Cricetulus griseus: one gene and its partner. The protein of the gene in region 1 interacts with the protein of each later gene in a biochemical or structural test. Links are inferred from orthologs where the notes say so. Each region holds a gene or a part of one and is shown on either strand. Other genes may lie near its edges.

Region 1 (7,837 bases):
TACATATGTGCATCTAGAGAGCAAATGCAGCCAAATAGGAGTTGTTGGAACTAAGTAGTAGACATACATGCGATCACTGTATTTTTTTTTTAAATGTCCAGAATAAAATCAGGGGTCAAAAATCCAATCCACGTATTCAAAGCTTATAAAAAATGTCCTTTCTATGCACTGAATCAATATTAAAAATATACAATCAAATGACATTCAACAGTGGCTGGCATGACAGCCAGAAGAATCCATGACAGTGAAAAAACATGATTCAGTACAGTATGAGCAACTCCACTCTTGGATCCAAAGCAGCACTTCATATACAAATCAAAGGGGGAAATTGTAGAAGTAAACTTAGGGCTCAGGGTTTCTGAATACATAAATTCTATGGATTTGGGGGCTTACAAGCTAAAGAAAAGATTTAAATTGAGTCTGTATCTGGTATGACTTACCACACAAAACAGCATTTTAATGTTGTGGAAATCGTTCACAATGTTACCAGAAATGGAAATAGTAGCTATTTAAGAAGCTAAGGAGCCCAGAAAACAGCATCACTTAAGAAGGTCTATGGGGAATTCTAGGCAAATAATTAATTCATGAAGCAAATATAAAACACATCAACATATGTGAAGGCTTTTATGGTAAATTTATGGCCTACAAAGCCCTGTTACACCAAATTAAAATGGTCAAAAATCAAGTGAGACCTACAATCCATTCTGTATATATTTTGCTGTATATATCTATTGAATAAGGGACAACAGAATGGTCCCAATTCATTTCCGCACATTAGGCTTTTATCATTTTCCAATCCCTGTGCAAACTGCATTCCAAAGGCCAATCCTTAGATATATGCATATATATATGTATATATATATACACACATATATATATATGTAAAACTTGATAAGTGGAAGTGTTTGGCTATAATTTATTATGCATGCTTATTGCATCAAAGAAATAAGCAAAGTTTTAGGTTTACTGTGCAAGAATTTTAATTAGATTTGCACACATTTCAAAAAATTCTATTGTGTGACTTCCTGGTCTTGGAGCTAAGTCAACCGGAGAAGAGTCGAGTGAGGTCACAGATGAGGTAAGAGAAACTTCTGACGGCTTTCCTTGAGCCTCAGCATCAGAGTCACTCCTTTGGCAAGACCGATAGTTGCTGATGGATCCCGATCTCTGTGGAGTAGCCGTCCCTGATTTGGCTTCTGTTATTTCATCTGGGTGAAAAGAATTCCCACATGTTACTATTTGTCCCTTGAGAGGTCCAACAGTATGGATCAGATTCTTTAAGTGAGACTACTGACTAGCTCCCCAGAGCATGTGTAATTTAAATACATTCTCAAATGGGGGTACTGTGCCTGGATTAAGCCACTCACTCACAGTTTCTCCACACAGCATGGAGAATGCCTATGATGGATGACCAGTTCACACAGGGTACACAATCTATCACTCTTGACTTTTACACTAAGAGCCAGGAAACTAATAACCTGAGTTTTAATTTAAAAAAAAAAAAAATCCCCTACCACTAAAAGTCTTTTCTATTAAAAGCACAGAATCAATCTCTTGAAATATGGATGATATCTTGGAAATCATCTCAGCCAAGAACCATTTTACTAATATAAAACAAAGCCAGAGAAAACAATGATTTGTTCAAGGAAACAAATGAACAGAAAGGTTCGGCCATTTGGGCACTCTACCCTCCCAACTTCAGTTCAGTGCTTTTCACTCTGCAGTTTCTCCTATTTCATCTGCGAGCATAACAGAGCAACAATTGCAATAAGCAAAACCAGAAAAGCAGGGACTAGTGGTACAGGCCTTCAATCCCAGCTACTCAGGAAGCTAAAGCAGGAGGGTCATAAGTTCAAGGCCTACCTGAGCTAGAGAGTTCAAGGACAACCTGGGTAACTTGTGAGACCTTCCTTCAAAATAACAAGTAAAAAGAGGGCTGGGGCTAGAGCTTATTGAAAAGGCCTGGATTCATCTCTAGCACCACAAAAGTAACACTAAAAGTGAAATCAAAGAGAAACTAGTTGGGAACAGAATACAAGTAGAAATAGTACTAGAGCAGAAATATAGAAATAGTAAGTATTCATTCACTTGGTCAAGTCCAAGAGTTGATATAACTATGACTGCAAAATTATCTAAATACCAAGAGAAAAATAAAGCTGGCTCCCGACCTCAAACTGTACTGATGTGTGTTAGATGACAGGTACATGTTATCCAGACATCTGAGCATGGTGCACACCTGTAACCAGCACTCAGAGATGAAACAAAGAGGACTGTCCCTCCAAACCAGGCCAGCCTACATAGAAGACCCTTTCTCAAAAGTAAATAACCATTCCATCATGTTGGCCAGAATATATCACAGCTCAAGCCTTTGTCTTTCTTAAACTCTGTAGGTGCTGACTTTGAGTCTGTAAGTAGTAATTCTAAATATCCTCCCATAATACTGGTTAACTGATTTGGAAGGACAGCCATAATCTTGTATTTATTTTCTTAAAGTACTTAATAGTAAATAAAACTACAGTAACATCAACCTTTGCTTTTCAATAAAAAATTTATGTTGCCAGAATGAACAAAGCAACAGAAATATGAAAGAAAATTATCACTTTAGAATTAAGCTGTATATTTTTAAAGATTTTACAGGACAATAATCATTTTCTACCTTGGGAGAGATGGGAGTGGTGATTGAAGACAGTGTTTTGTGTATGCTAGACAAGAACTTCACTACTGAACTAAATTCCTAGCCCCGGGATGATGAACTGTAAAAGAACAATGTACTACATGGAACAAGAATAACAGGATTCACAGTTGTCGGTGTCATGGAGCACAGAAGTCACATTTACTATTACTTCCCAGGAAAAAGCCAGGAAGTTTCATTAGACACAAAGGTTGAAGATGGAGAGGGCAGTGGGGGAGGATGATTAAAAACAAAGTATCTGTATGAAAGTATCATACTGGAGGCTAGGGAGATGACTTGGTAGATAAAGAGCCTGCCGCACTGCATAAGGACCTCAATTCCAATCCTCGGCACCTATGTAAAAGCCAGGCCAGGAGGTGCACATCTATAACCCCAACACTGAAGGCTGGAAATGAGAGGATCCCTGGGGCTTGCAGGCCAGTAAGTCTAGCCTAAGGGGCAACCTCCTGTTTGGAAAGAGGCCTTATCTCAAAAGTAAGATGGAGAGTGATGGAGAAGGCAGCTGACATTGACCTCTGCTGCCCTCACCCCATGTACACATGGGTGGGTGAGGAAAAGGGGGAGGGGGAGGGAGGGAGGGAGGAACTTACTACTTTTCATGCTTAGTTTTAATTCAAAACAAAAGAAAAGAAAAAACTATAAACCAAATTAGTTAAACAGGTATACCATATTACCTCTATGGGTTTTTGTGTACATACCATCAATACTACGGAAATCCAGTAAGTAAGTCCGACTATCCACTTGGTATAGCTGTAGACTCATTTTGGAAAATGTGCTTGTCACGGGGTTCTTCCTTCGTACACGCAAATAATAGGGGTTTACAACCTAGCATATGATATGGACAAAAACAAAGGCACATCCAATCAATTCTTCTACAAAAGACTTTTTGTCTGCAGGTTTCCCAAATGTGTTAGGTAGAATGCTTGCCTTCTTACCTTCCATTCATAATCCAATTGCTTGATTGCTCTACAAACTTCTGCCATAATATCATTTGGCCGACTTTGACTTCTAATTCCCAAATGCCACTTTGCTTTCCGCACACCTTGGTGTTTGGATTTCTGTGGGTTTAATTCATCAAGGGTGTGCCGTGCCCTTGGTGTTTCAGCAACCAAGAATGGTACCCTTTCAGGATGTGGCCGAGTTAAATGGTGGTCGTCTAGGAAAGAATCAGGTGGGCTTGTTGCCAAGTAGAAATCTTTGGCTTCGTTCATTATCCTCCTGTTATCAATTATGAGGTGGTAGGCAACTGCCAATGGGTCCTGGTGGTTTCTATTGTAAAGGCAGCTGAGAACCTCCTCCTCCGAACATTCAAACTTTTCACACACTTCTTTTAAGGCTTCATCATCAATCATGGTTGAACTGTATGATGGATCCTCCGGAAAGAGATATTTTGGAAGGTCCTGTTTAAACCATTCATGTTCCCTAAGAGGAAACAGCAGTGTGAGGGGAAGAATTTTGAGTAAAACCAAGAATAAAAACAATAACTTTCAAGAGTTTAAGAAATGAATTAATTTAATTTCTACCCACACTATATTACTACCATTTTTTTTTTAACTTTTTCTTCTTCTAGCTCATACTTCACTGAGTATGTTGAGAAAAATGTTGTAGCCTGCTGCTAGGGGTTTTTTTGGGGGGGAGAGGCGGCGGGGGGGGGGGGGGCTCGGCATTAATACAGGGTTTCTCTGTATAACCCTGACTGTCCTGAAACTCACTCAATAGACCAAGCTGGCCTCAAACTCACAGAGATCCACCTGCCTCTGCCTCCCGAGTGCTGAGATTAAAGGCATGCAGCACCACTGCCCGGCCCTGGCACTAATTTTTAAGGATTGCTGCAGCCAAATGAAAAGGTATGTCTACCCAAATGACAATGACAAAGTACAGATTTTTTTCCAGCTCAGAAAGAAACTATGTTGTGTAGCTTCACTGTATTCTCTTGTTTATACTGCCTCATGTTACATGAAAAAAAAAAAAAAAAAAACTTCTTACTGTATAATTAGTTTCAGGCTAAGCAATTCATACACATAAAATTTATCCTCATCCTCATGACCCAATTCTGTATGACTCAAAAGGCTATTCTCTGAATGATTCCCTATTATATCATTTAACTGCACATATAAATGGATATTGAACCATATCAAGAACTATGCTAAAACTTAAAAAACAAAAATGAAAATGAAAACAACACCAAAACACAGAAGAAAATACCCCAAAGAATAATGGTTATTGTCTAAGAAACTGACCAAAAGTATTATTTTATTCTCTTGTTTTTGTTTTGTTTTGTTTTGTTTTGTAATTTTAAGGGCATTTGTTTGTTTCCAAATGGAGACTGGTCTTGAGACAGAATCTCACCATGTAGACCAGGCTGGAATCAAACTCACTGCCATCCTCCTTCAGCTTCCCAAGTACTGGAATTATGGCTGTGTGCCACCATGCGTAGCATTTCTATCAGATTTTAATTATGAAAAAAATACCTAAAACATGCAAATCTACTTCTCACTTGGATATTTTACAACATCAATTTAATAGAACCAGTTTCCCTTCCCATCTGGGAGCTAAAGCCATGCCCTGCCACTTGGGATCTCCTTTTCAGCAGGCAGGGTCTCTCTATATAGCCCTGGCTGTCTTGAACAAACTCTGTAGACCAGGCTGGCCTTGAACTCACAGAGTTCCAACTGCCTCTACTTCCCGAGTACTGGGATTAAAGGTGTATGTCACCACTGCCTAGCTTCAGCAGGACTTTTAGCATGAGGGGTAAGTGGAAAGGAATAAAGCTTAAATTCACATGTTAGTCTCTTCCCGCTCTTCCTGGTTACCCCAAGGCTTTCTTATTTATTAACTCCTACAGGCATACAGTTTTCCTTCCTTCATTTCTTTCTTTCTTTTTCCCTCCCTCCCTCCCTCCCTCCCTCCCTCCCTCCCTCCCTCCCTTCCTTCTCTTCCTTCCTTCTATCCTTCCTTCCTTCCTTCCTTCCTCCAGTACCAGAAAAATGTACAGTCTAGCCATCAGAATCTCAAAGAATTAAGGAGAACAAAAAGGGAGGGGGATAAGACAACATTGATGGCAGAACAAAGACTCCATTAGGTACTCTGAGTGTTCATGAGAAATGGCTCACCTCAACTTGAGAAACGTATATCTGCCACCATCAGTTCCGCCTTACGTAAACTATGAGGTTCAACCACACACAATGCAACATTATCTATAAAACTCAATTTCCTATGACTCAAAGTGTACTGCTAGAAAAAAAATACGTCATTAATAAAATGAAATTTTATCTTGAGACTCAAAGAGGTAGAAAAGTACACTGGTTTAAAGTTACCTGATGTCTTTTATTGTGGCCCTCTTCATGGGATCTACCTGCAGCATATGCTTCAAAAGGCTGATCACAGAGGGATTTAAATACTGAGGGGTATAGAAAATCCCATCGCATATCTTCTTAAAAAGAGTTGGCACGTGGTCATCATCAAAGGGGAGGGTTCCACATAACAAGGCATAGAGAATGACCCCACTGCTCCAGATATCCACCTCAGGGCCTGCATACAATCTGAATAGGGAAGGCAGCTGCATTAATCACAACAGCCGAATGCACTACTCAACATTCTTCAAATACAAGTATTTTATGAAGAATAAATACAAGAAAATCATTTTCAAAGAAATGAGTGATCAGAATATGGTATTTATAGCAACTGCTGCACATCATACATAAAGATGTTAATGTTACCAGTATTGCCTTTTACAAGTTATGGTGTTTTGTCAATATTGAGCCATGGGTAAAATTGTTTTACTGCCTTACTATGACCCTTAAAGGGTCCTATCAATAAAACCCAATAAGGCTCATGATCAATGTTGAATTTGAGCCATGGAGATAAGATACTTTTTTAAAATAAATTTTATTCCATGTGCGCATGTGTGTGTGCACACGCGCGCATGCGGTAAAATGTGTATGTGCCATGTGTATATCTGTGCACACCCACAGTGAGTGTGGAGGTGAATGACAAGTTGTGGAGTCAGTTCTCTCCTTCGACCTTTAAGTAAGTTTCAGGGATCAAACTCTGGTCATCACACTTGGCAGGAAGCGCTTTCCCAGCTGAGTCATCTCACTGGACCAAGATTCAATTCTGTAGTGCCTGACTCTGAACCCATTTCACCCATTTCTCCTAAAACCCTCACATCAAAATTCAAGAGCTTGAGGCTGTAGAGCAAGCCAAAGTAAGTGGAATTCACAGAGTACTTTAAACTTCTCCTTGAAGCACTCTGGAGATAAGTATCTCCCCACACACACACACAACTTTTTTATTTAAATGCAATCTTATTTTACATATCAATCCCAGTTCCCTCTCCCTCCCACCCTCCCTCTTGCCCCTCCACCTCCCCATCCCACCCGCCATCCACTCCCAGAGAGGGTGAAGCCTTCCAATCAGAAGGGTCAAAGTCTGTCACATCATTTGGGGCAGGACCGAGGCCCCTCTCCCCTGTATCTAGGCTGAACAAGGTATCCCTCCAAAGGGAATGGGCTCCAAAAGCCAGTTCATTCACTTCCAGCGGCCCCATTGTAAGGAGCCTTGTAACCAGGCAGGCAAAGGCCTGGCTGGAGATTAGCACAGAGGCTACAACCAGGCAGGCAAAGGCTTGGCTGAAGAAAGATTAAAGGAAAGGGAGTATAGGCCCACTACGCAGCCCAGCCGCTGTAGATAAGAGTGAAAATGTGTGAAGTGTGGCAAAGTGTGATTAGCACAATTTAGCGAATTATTTAAGGCCCAGCTCAGAACTAGGAATTTTAGAGTGTACCACGACTCTATGTCCTGGAGCTCTCCTCCGTTAACCTAAGACAAACCAGTCCATCAAGCTGAGTGCTGCCGGTTCTGAGCCAGACTCCACACCAGGCCCTCAGGAGACTCGCTGTCCTGAATCCAGAGGAATGGAAGTCCCAGCCCTAAACCTAGGGCCACTGCAGGAGAGGTACTCCCTGCTGTGAGCCTATTGTCTGTGGTTCTTAGGATTGTTTGTTTATGCTGTGTGTTGCTTTGACATAAGTGTGAAGTAAAACTTATACTCAAGACCAACTCACTGAGTTTGTCATTCCTCCCAGGTCAAAACCTGGTAAGGGCTGGAGACACCCAAAGACTGCCCAAACCCCACAACTGACA
Region 2 (7,937 bases), on another chromosome or scaffold:
GGCCCATACCCCAAGCTACACTTCAAGAAATGCCCACTATTACAAGGCACTGACCCTCTAGGTTCTATTGTCCCCCAGAGGCCATAATGGCCTGCACATATCCTCTTTGGTTCCTGTGAAGGAACTAAAGGAAGACTAGCAAAGGAAACCCTAGTCCTTCAGAGTCCGGTTGTGCATGGGGTCTACCACATTACTTTTCTCCCTGTTTTATGGTTGGCATCACCATCTTAGCCAAGCTGAGGTCCAAAACAACTTTTAAATTCTCCCTGTAGGGGTCTAACAAGCAAAGGAGGATGAAAGCAGCTTCAGGTCACAAGTCTCAGTCCGGGTCTCACAATCCTAGGAAAGAAGGTGGTACCTGAGGGTGGCAGAGATAGAGCAAGGTAGTGGTAGGCAGGGACTCTGTGAAAGGCAGAGTCTCTGTGGGCAAGGCTGCCCCACACACACCCCGCCCCCAACCTCCAGTTCCTGGGAAAAGGATCTGCAGCAGTCCCATCCATCTCAGGCATCCCAGGAAGGTCTGGGAAGCATTCATTTTAAACTTAGACTTCCAGGCTAGCTCAGAAATGCTGATTCTTTTGGACGTCCTAGGGAGAGATCAAGAAAAAAAACAGGTAACAGGGCTTGGTGGAGCAGGCCTCTGATTTTAGTAGTAGGATGGTAAAGGTCAGCCAGAGAGCTGCACAGTGACACCCTATCTTGGGAAGGGGATGAAGAGAGGAAAAGAGGGCGGTAAGGGAGGAAGAGGAAAAAAAGAAAGGAAGCAAAGGGTCTGGGCCAGGCATTGGTGGCCCACACCTTTAATCCCAGCACTGGGGAGGCAGAGGCAGGCAGATTTCAGTGAGTTCGAGGCCAGCCTGTTGTACAAAATGAGTTCCAGGATAGCCAGGACTGTTACGCAGAGAAACCTGATCTTTATTTTTTAAATATCCCCCCCCCGCTTTTTTTTTAAGATTTTATTTATTTATTATGTATACAACTTTCTGCTTCCATGTATATCTGCACACAAGAAGAGGGTACCAGATCTCATTAAAGATAGTTGTAAGCTACTATGTGATTGCTGTGAATTGAACTCAGGACCTCTGGAAGAGCAGACAGTGCTCTTAACCCTTGAGCCATCTCTCCAGCCCCCTAAGAAACCCTGTCTTGAAAAGGAAAGAAAAAAGAAAGAAAGGAAGGGAGAGGGAGAGAGAGAGAGAGAGAGAGAGAGAGAGAGGGAGGGAGGGAGGGAGGGAGGGAGGGAGGAGAGGGAGGAAGGAAGGAAGGAAGGAAGGAAGGAAGGAGTATGAGATGTAGCTCACTGGCAGCATGCTTGTCTAGCAAGACAGTCTAGATTCAATCCCCAAGACCAGAGGAAAAAGAGAATGACTTTTTTTTCCAAAGGGAAATAAATGTCAGTTCATCGAAAGGAAGCTAGAATGTGGGTGTAGTGATTCACCTTTCTATTTACGAAAAGCAGTACAGAGACACAGAAAGGTGCTAGCATGACCCACCTAAAGGGCAGCAAACTGATTATGGGGTGAGTAAGGACAGGTGACTTCCAGGACCACCACAGAAACAAAACAATAGAAAATGAAAGTCATTCAGTTGGGTTTACCAAGGACACAGGTGATATATAACCTTAGGGTCCTAAAAAGACACTCATCAGGCTGTAAAGGAACACATCTAGGACAGCACCCTGTGTAGTCCAGAGAGTCGGGAAGGAGCGGGGGGGGGGGGGGGGGGGGGGGGGGGGGGGGGGGGGGGGGGGGGGGCGGGGGCCTGCAAGAGGCCCAGAAAGCAAGTGGCCTTAAGTGAGAAGCCCTAGTCTTTGCACAGCTGGGCAACCACAGGGTGCAGCAGCCTTGCCACTATACTCGCCTAACATGTTCCTTTCCAAATGCCTTCAATGTACCTTGCTCAGCGCTTACCCTAATCTAGCAGGTTCTGTGCCAACTCTCACTGTTCAGCCCTCATATACCAGTCAAGAACCTTTGCAATAGAACATGATCACAGGAGATTGCTTTCGCATCTGCCTATGTCTTTACTCCAAACTTCACTTTTTTTATTTTTGGTTTTTGGAGACAGGGTTTCTCTGTGTAACATTCTTAGCTGCCCAGGAAATCACTCTGTAGGATAGGCTGGCCTCAAACTCATTGAGATCCGCCTGCCTCTGCCTCCCGAGTGCTGGGATTAAAGACATGCGCCACCACCACCCAGCTCCCTACTTCACTCTTAACCACATTGCCTTACTCTACCACAAGATGTAAATTATTGCAAACAAAATGGCCATCTGGCTTTTTCTTTCTTTCTTCTGTTCATAGCTGTATCCTAAAGCCTAAAACAGCAGTTCAGCAACAGAACTAAAATAAATAAATGTGACCTTTAGTTCATAGATGTTAGTGGTTGCTACCATCCTAACTGGTGGTCCTTTTTAAAAATATTTAAACTGGAGAGATGGCTAAGAGGTTGAAAGCACTGGCTGTTGTTCTTCAAGAGGTCCAGAGTTCAATTCCCAGCAACCACAAGGTGGCTCACTACCATCCATAACGAGATTTGCTCTCTTCTGGCGTGCAGGAACATATGCAGGCAGAACACTATATGGATAAATAAATTTAAAAATTAAAAAAAAAATAGGCGGGCTGGGCGTTGGTGGCGCACGCCTTTAATCCCAGCACTAGGGAGGCAGAGGCAGGCGGATCTCTTGGAATTCGAGACCAGCCTGGTCTACAGAGTGAGTTCCAGGATAGGCTCCAAAGCCACAGAGAAACCCTGTCTCGAAACCCAATTCCCCCCCAAAAAAACCAAACAAACGAAAAAAAAAAGTTGTAAAATTTAAGGAGAGATCTGTGACATCGGAGGGCCACTGCAAACTTAAGTGTTGAGATTAAGGTCATCAGGTTACCAAATTATCAGTGTTCCTCCGCTTCCCTGTCCAGCCACTTCTTTCAGGGCTACACAAGACAAACTAGCAGGCTTTTCTGTGGAATGGTCAGAGTCACAGAAAGGGATTCCAATAAAAATCCCTTAAAACAAAAGGGCCAGATTGGACGGCACACGCCTTTAATTGCAACTTCAAATATACTTCCTTAGGTCATAGCTTAAATCGGAGTCGCCAACCCAGGAACCGGAACACCAAGCGAAAAGGGCGGGGCGCCGTCTCTGCCACGTAGCCGGGGAGGGAGGAGCCGCTGCAGTATGGCGATGAGCCGGTCGTCTTACTTTTCCTTCCTGAACACGTACTAATCTGCCGAGGAGCCTTTATTAAAACCCAGTAAAGCTTACTTAAGAACGCATTTGTTCAGCAGTCGCCAAATTATGTTCCGTGGCAGAAGAAACGGCGACATTGCGACTTACCGCGCCCAGCCCCTCCCACTACCTGGTGACGCCATCTTTGAGCAGCAGGGAATCATGGGAACCCCCGCCTTGCTCTCCGGGTATTTCCGGTTCCGCCGGAGGCCGCTCTTTCTTTTTCTCCGCGGCGTCGCTGTGGCTGCCGCTGTGGTGCTTGGCTCTCTGAGCTATCCGGTGCCATCCTTGTCGCTGCGGCGACACTCGTATCAGCTGCAGCCATGACGGAGCAGATGACCCTTCGTGGGACCCTCAAAGGCCATAACGGCTGGGTAACACAGATCGCCACCACCCCGCAGTTCCCAGACATGATTCTGTCTGCGTCTCGAGGTACGGGCTGCATGCCGGGCGAAATAGCGCGTTTCCCGGGGACTGCGCGTCTCCTGGCTTCGCAGGTGGCGCGTGGGTTGGCTGGCTTGGTCCATTCCCCCACCCAGTTATGAGTTGGGGCGTGCAGACCCGAACCTGGGCCCCAACTAGGGCGACCCTTTGCACATGGACGGAAACCGAGAGGTGTCGCATAACTCCCATAAGATTAGGTGACTAAATCTCTTCGTCTGTCTTCTCGAGATATATTTAAGTAGTTAGGGAGCTACAAGCCAGGCGGAGCAATGATGACCCCAACATGCCATCTGAGCTACTTTGCTGAAATCCAGAGGCTGTTTCTGAGCTGCCGTCTGGCCCTGAGCTCTGAGCAGTGCGTAAACTAAGGCTTTTTATTTTTCCTCATGACTTATCTTTATCATGATTTGCCCACCCAGGTCTCCCTATCTGCCCAAATTTATGTTCATTCTCGTGTGAAGCTTATCAGGCACTTTATTCGTTTCTGTATGGTTTGACATGGTGCATGGCTAGGACTGTCTTATTCTACCATAGCTACTGCATTTCTAGTCAACCCTTAAAGGCACAAAAGGTGGTCTGCTTATCCCACACCCAAGTGACTTTGCTACTTTTGAGTTAGCCTTGTGCTGGAGTGATGATAGATAAAACTGGCTCCTCAAGGGGACTAGGTAAGGTTTGTTTCCCAGAACCCACATGGTGACTTGCAATTGTAGGTAGTTACAGGGAATCTGACACCCTCTTCTAAAAACAACATGGGCACACATGGAGGGGAAACATTCAACACAAATTAATCTTGGGTTGGATTTGAGTTTCAATCCCAGCAAGTGTGGTACCCCATAGTCTCGGGTGTGCCTTACATCTTTTCAGTTCCTCTCACTGAATGTAGTGATGCTCCCCTTGTTATTACACCAGTAACCGTAAAGCACTGTAAATTATGCCCAGTATATAGGTGTGGGTGCCTATGTAATTTCTTCCCCAACCTTTTCAGACAAGACCATCATCATGTGGAAGCTAACCAGGGACGAGACCAACTATGGCATACCACAGCGTGCGCTTCGAGGTCACTCCCATTTTGTCAGTGATGTCGTTATCTCCTCTGATGGCCAGTTTGCCCTCTCAGGCTCCTGGGATGGAACACTGCGCCTCTGGGATCTCACAACGCAAGTAGCTGCTTTGGGACCTTGGGGGAGAGCTGGGCAAAATTGAGGTAGATTCCCGAGGGTGTGGTCTCCCTCGGAAATTGGTTTTTTTATGGAGGGTGGGGTAAGATGTTGGTGTTGACCTCTTTGAGGAGGGAGCTAGAGGGCTGTCGTGTAGTTGGAGCGTTTTTACCGGGTACCGCCAGCTGTTAAAATAAGTGTTTCATCTTGAAAGCTGTCCTAGATGAGCATTTGGCAGGTGTAATAGAGGATCCTAGTGATGACAAGAAGACATTGTCAACCAATCCCCACAAGGGAATGAGGACATGTCCTGCAATTCTGAATGGGTTCTCTGGCACATACCAAGAATGGGCTAATAATAGAACAAAGCCACATATAAGCTGTGTGGAGTGATAGAGCCTACTGGAGCAGCAATGTAGCCAAGAAAAGGGTCTGACTAAAAGGATAAGATTTGTCTAGAAAGTGACCAGGTTCTCCCATTTAGGGGCACCACCACGAGACGATTTGTAGGCCATACTAAGGATGTACTGAGTGTAGCCTTCTCCTCCGACAACCGGCAGATTGTGTCTGGATCTCGAGACAAGACCATAAAGTTATGGAATACTCTCGGTGTCTGCAAATACACTGTCCAGGTAAAGTGATGGAGGTAAAGGCTACAAGTTAGAGGTTATCTCCCAGCCCTTGGGGATTTTGTTGCAGTTTTGAGATGGTTCATTACTATGTAACCCTGCTTAGACTAGAACTTTGGTCTGCTTATTGCATGCTGGGATCAAAGCTGTGTGCCACCATCTAGCTCTTTTGTAATGTGTGGCATTTGTCTGGGATTTGGTTGGTTTTTACTATATATTTAATGCATTCTTGCTCATGAGTGGCTTGGGACTTGGGAGTTGATTTTTCTTCTGAGTTGGGGCATGGAACCCTAGGCCAAGGCATCTATTGGGCAGGCCCTTACACATGAGCAAATACCCAGATGTGTCCCATAACTTCCCTAAGGGTTAGGGGGTTTTAAAATCTCTACCTACCTCCTGGAAGTATGTTTAAGTACTTGGGGGCTACAAGCCAGGCAGAGCAGTGATGACTCCAACATGCCATCTGAGGTGCAGTGCTGAAATCCAGAGGCTGTTTCTGAGCTGTGCCTGGCACTGTGCTCCATGAGGAGGCATCCTAGGACTCAAATATGAATCAGCAGGCTTGACAAATGACTTTACCAACTGTTCTGTTGATCCAGAAGTATAGGTTTGCCAGAGAGTGCTGTTGCCCCACTTAGGGTAGTTATCTGTAGTCCTCTTACTTACCTTGCATCTTCTGTAGGATGAGAGTCATTCAGAATGGGTGTCTTGTGTCCGCTTCTCCCCGAACAGTAGCAACCCTATCATCGTCTCCTGTGGATGGGACAAGCTGGTCAAGGTGAGCTTCAACAATGGCCTGGCCCCATTAGAAATCTAAAAATGTTCCCATTCCTCTGAGATGGTAATCACTCCGGTTTGGAATGTTTTGCAAATTAAATTACCTTGGCTTTGGCTCTTGATGCTTTATCTAAGTTCATTAGGGATTGAGTTTGTTTTTGAGGCCAGATCTCACTCTGTATCTCTGATAGGCCTGTGTCAGCCACTCAAATATTGGGATTACATGCGCTTGCATAAAAACCTGTTATGAGTTACCTTTAAGGAAGATGCTATTCTTTCTTGTGGCCATAATCCTGGTCACTCACCTTTTTCCCTAGGTATGGAACTTGGCTAACTGCAAGCTGAAGACCAACCACATTGGCCACACTGGCTATCTGAACACAGTGACAGTCTCTCCAGATGGATCCCTCTGTGCTTCTGGAGGCAAGGTATTTAGGGGACCTCTGATCTTTATTTATGGAGAACACTTTCATCTGATAGCATGTACCAGTTAAAAGATGAGCTTAAAATGTGGGAATGTTTCTAAGGATTATCATAAAATATATAGAAAGGCATACCAAAGAAATTTTCCTTTAAAACTAAGTTGGTAGCTGAATAGATGGCTCTGGGATTAAGAGCACTGACTGTTCTCCCAGAGGTCCTGAGTTCAATTCCTAACAACTACATGGTGGCTCAAGACCATCTAATAAGATCTAGTGTCCTCTTCTGGATTAGGGCTACACACAGGCAAAACACACTGTATACATAAATAAAAGTAAGTTGATATACGTATTATACATTACAGGGAAGGTCTTAGGACCATGAACGCTGACACTTCAACCATTAGCTTTATCTATCCTAACTCACCATTTATGTCCGTCCAGGATGGCCAGGCTATGCTGTGGGATCTCAATGAAGGCAAGCACCTTTACACACTAGATGGTGGGGACATCATCAATGCCTTGTGCTTCAGCCCCAACCGCTACTGGCTCTGTGCTGCCACAGGCCCCAGTATCAAGATTTGGGTAAGTGATCTGTTGTGCACCACATTGATTTCAAGCTTTATTGGTAGATTCATCATTCAGCTGCTGTCAGTTGACAAGTTGGGATTATTTTTTCTTAACACTTAGCAGCACTGGGCAACATTTGACTAATAAAAGGGAATGCCCATATTTGGCAATTTGTTGAGTCATTTGGGCCAAAGTAATTCTCCTTTGAGAGGCTATTTTGTCAGCATATGTGGTATCTACTCACTAGATGACCATTAACAGTTACAGCCACACACCATGAAAGATAAGCAAAAATAATCCCAGTAGTGTGTAGCAGGTAGTAGAGCACTTAGCTAATGCATGAGAGGCATAAATCAAATCCCTACCACATGTGCCACTAGTATCAACTAAAAGACTGGGGATTCTATGTGGTATTTTTATGTTTTGGACAGTGTGTAACCCAGGCTGACCTTACATTTATGAGGAGTCATCTTGACTAAGTTACATGGTCAGATCTAGAACTTGGCAGTCTGCCTCAGCCTTCCAAGTAGCTCCAATTGTATAACTAAACCACTGGCCCTCTAAATGATTGTGGGTTGCTAGGGTGGGGGTTGATATTTCATATGTCCTTGAAAGAAAAAATAATCTGGAAATCTGAATTAGAAATAGGCTTTCCAAGTAGTTCATTACTGTCTGTGGTACAGGATAACTGGCCCATAGCCAGGGAATTC

Evidence for each region. The genes of interacting proteins can lie anywhere in the genome.
Region 2: of the proteins of Prkaa1 (region 1) and Rack1, one has a biochemical effect on the other in vitro, tested with the Homo sapiens proteins (2 studies listed by BioGRID). The link is inferred for Cricetulus griseus from reciprocal best matches to the Homo sapiens genes PRKAA1 and RACK1.

The regions. Positions count from the first base shown.
Region 1 is NC_048595.1:339,151,457-339,159,293, reverse strand, and holds part of Prkaa1 (5'-AMP-activated protein kinase catalytic subunit alpha-1), read right to left. Parts: intron 6,235-7,837; coding exon 6,010-6,234; intron 4,115-6,009; coding exon 3,628-4,114; intron 3,518-3,627; coding exon 3,391-3,517; intron 1,209-3,390; coding exon 964-1,208; 3' UTR 1-963. UniProt on the Homo sapiens protein: Catalytic subunit of AMP-activated protein kinase (AMPK), an energy sensor protein kinase that plays a key role in regulating cellular energy metabolism.
Region 2 is NC_048600.1:63,455,123-63,463,059, forward strand, and holds the start of Rack1 (receptor of activated protein C kinase 1), read left to right. Parts: upstream 1-3,429; 5' UTR 3,430-3,551; coding exon 3,552-3,660; intron 3,661-3,935; exon of another isoform or gene 3,936-4,003; intron 4,004-4,660; coding exon 4,661-4,832; intron 4,833-5,081; exon of another isoform or gene 5,082-5,161; intron 5,162-5,316; coding exon 5,317-5,464; intron 5,465-5,897; exon of another isoform or gene 5,898-5,965; intron 5,966-6,143; coding exon 6,144-6,239; intron 6,240-6,555; coding exon 6,556-6,666; intron 6,667-7,101; coding exon 7,102-7,242; intron 7,243-7,937. UniProt on the Homo sapiens protein: Scaffolding protein involved in the recruitment, assembly and/or regulation of a variety of signaling molecules. Interacts with a wide variety of proteins and plays a role in many cellular processes.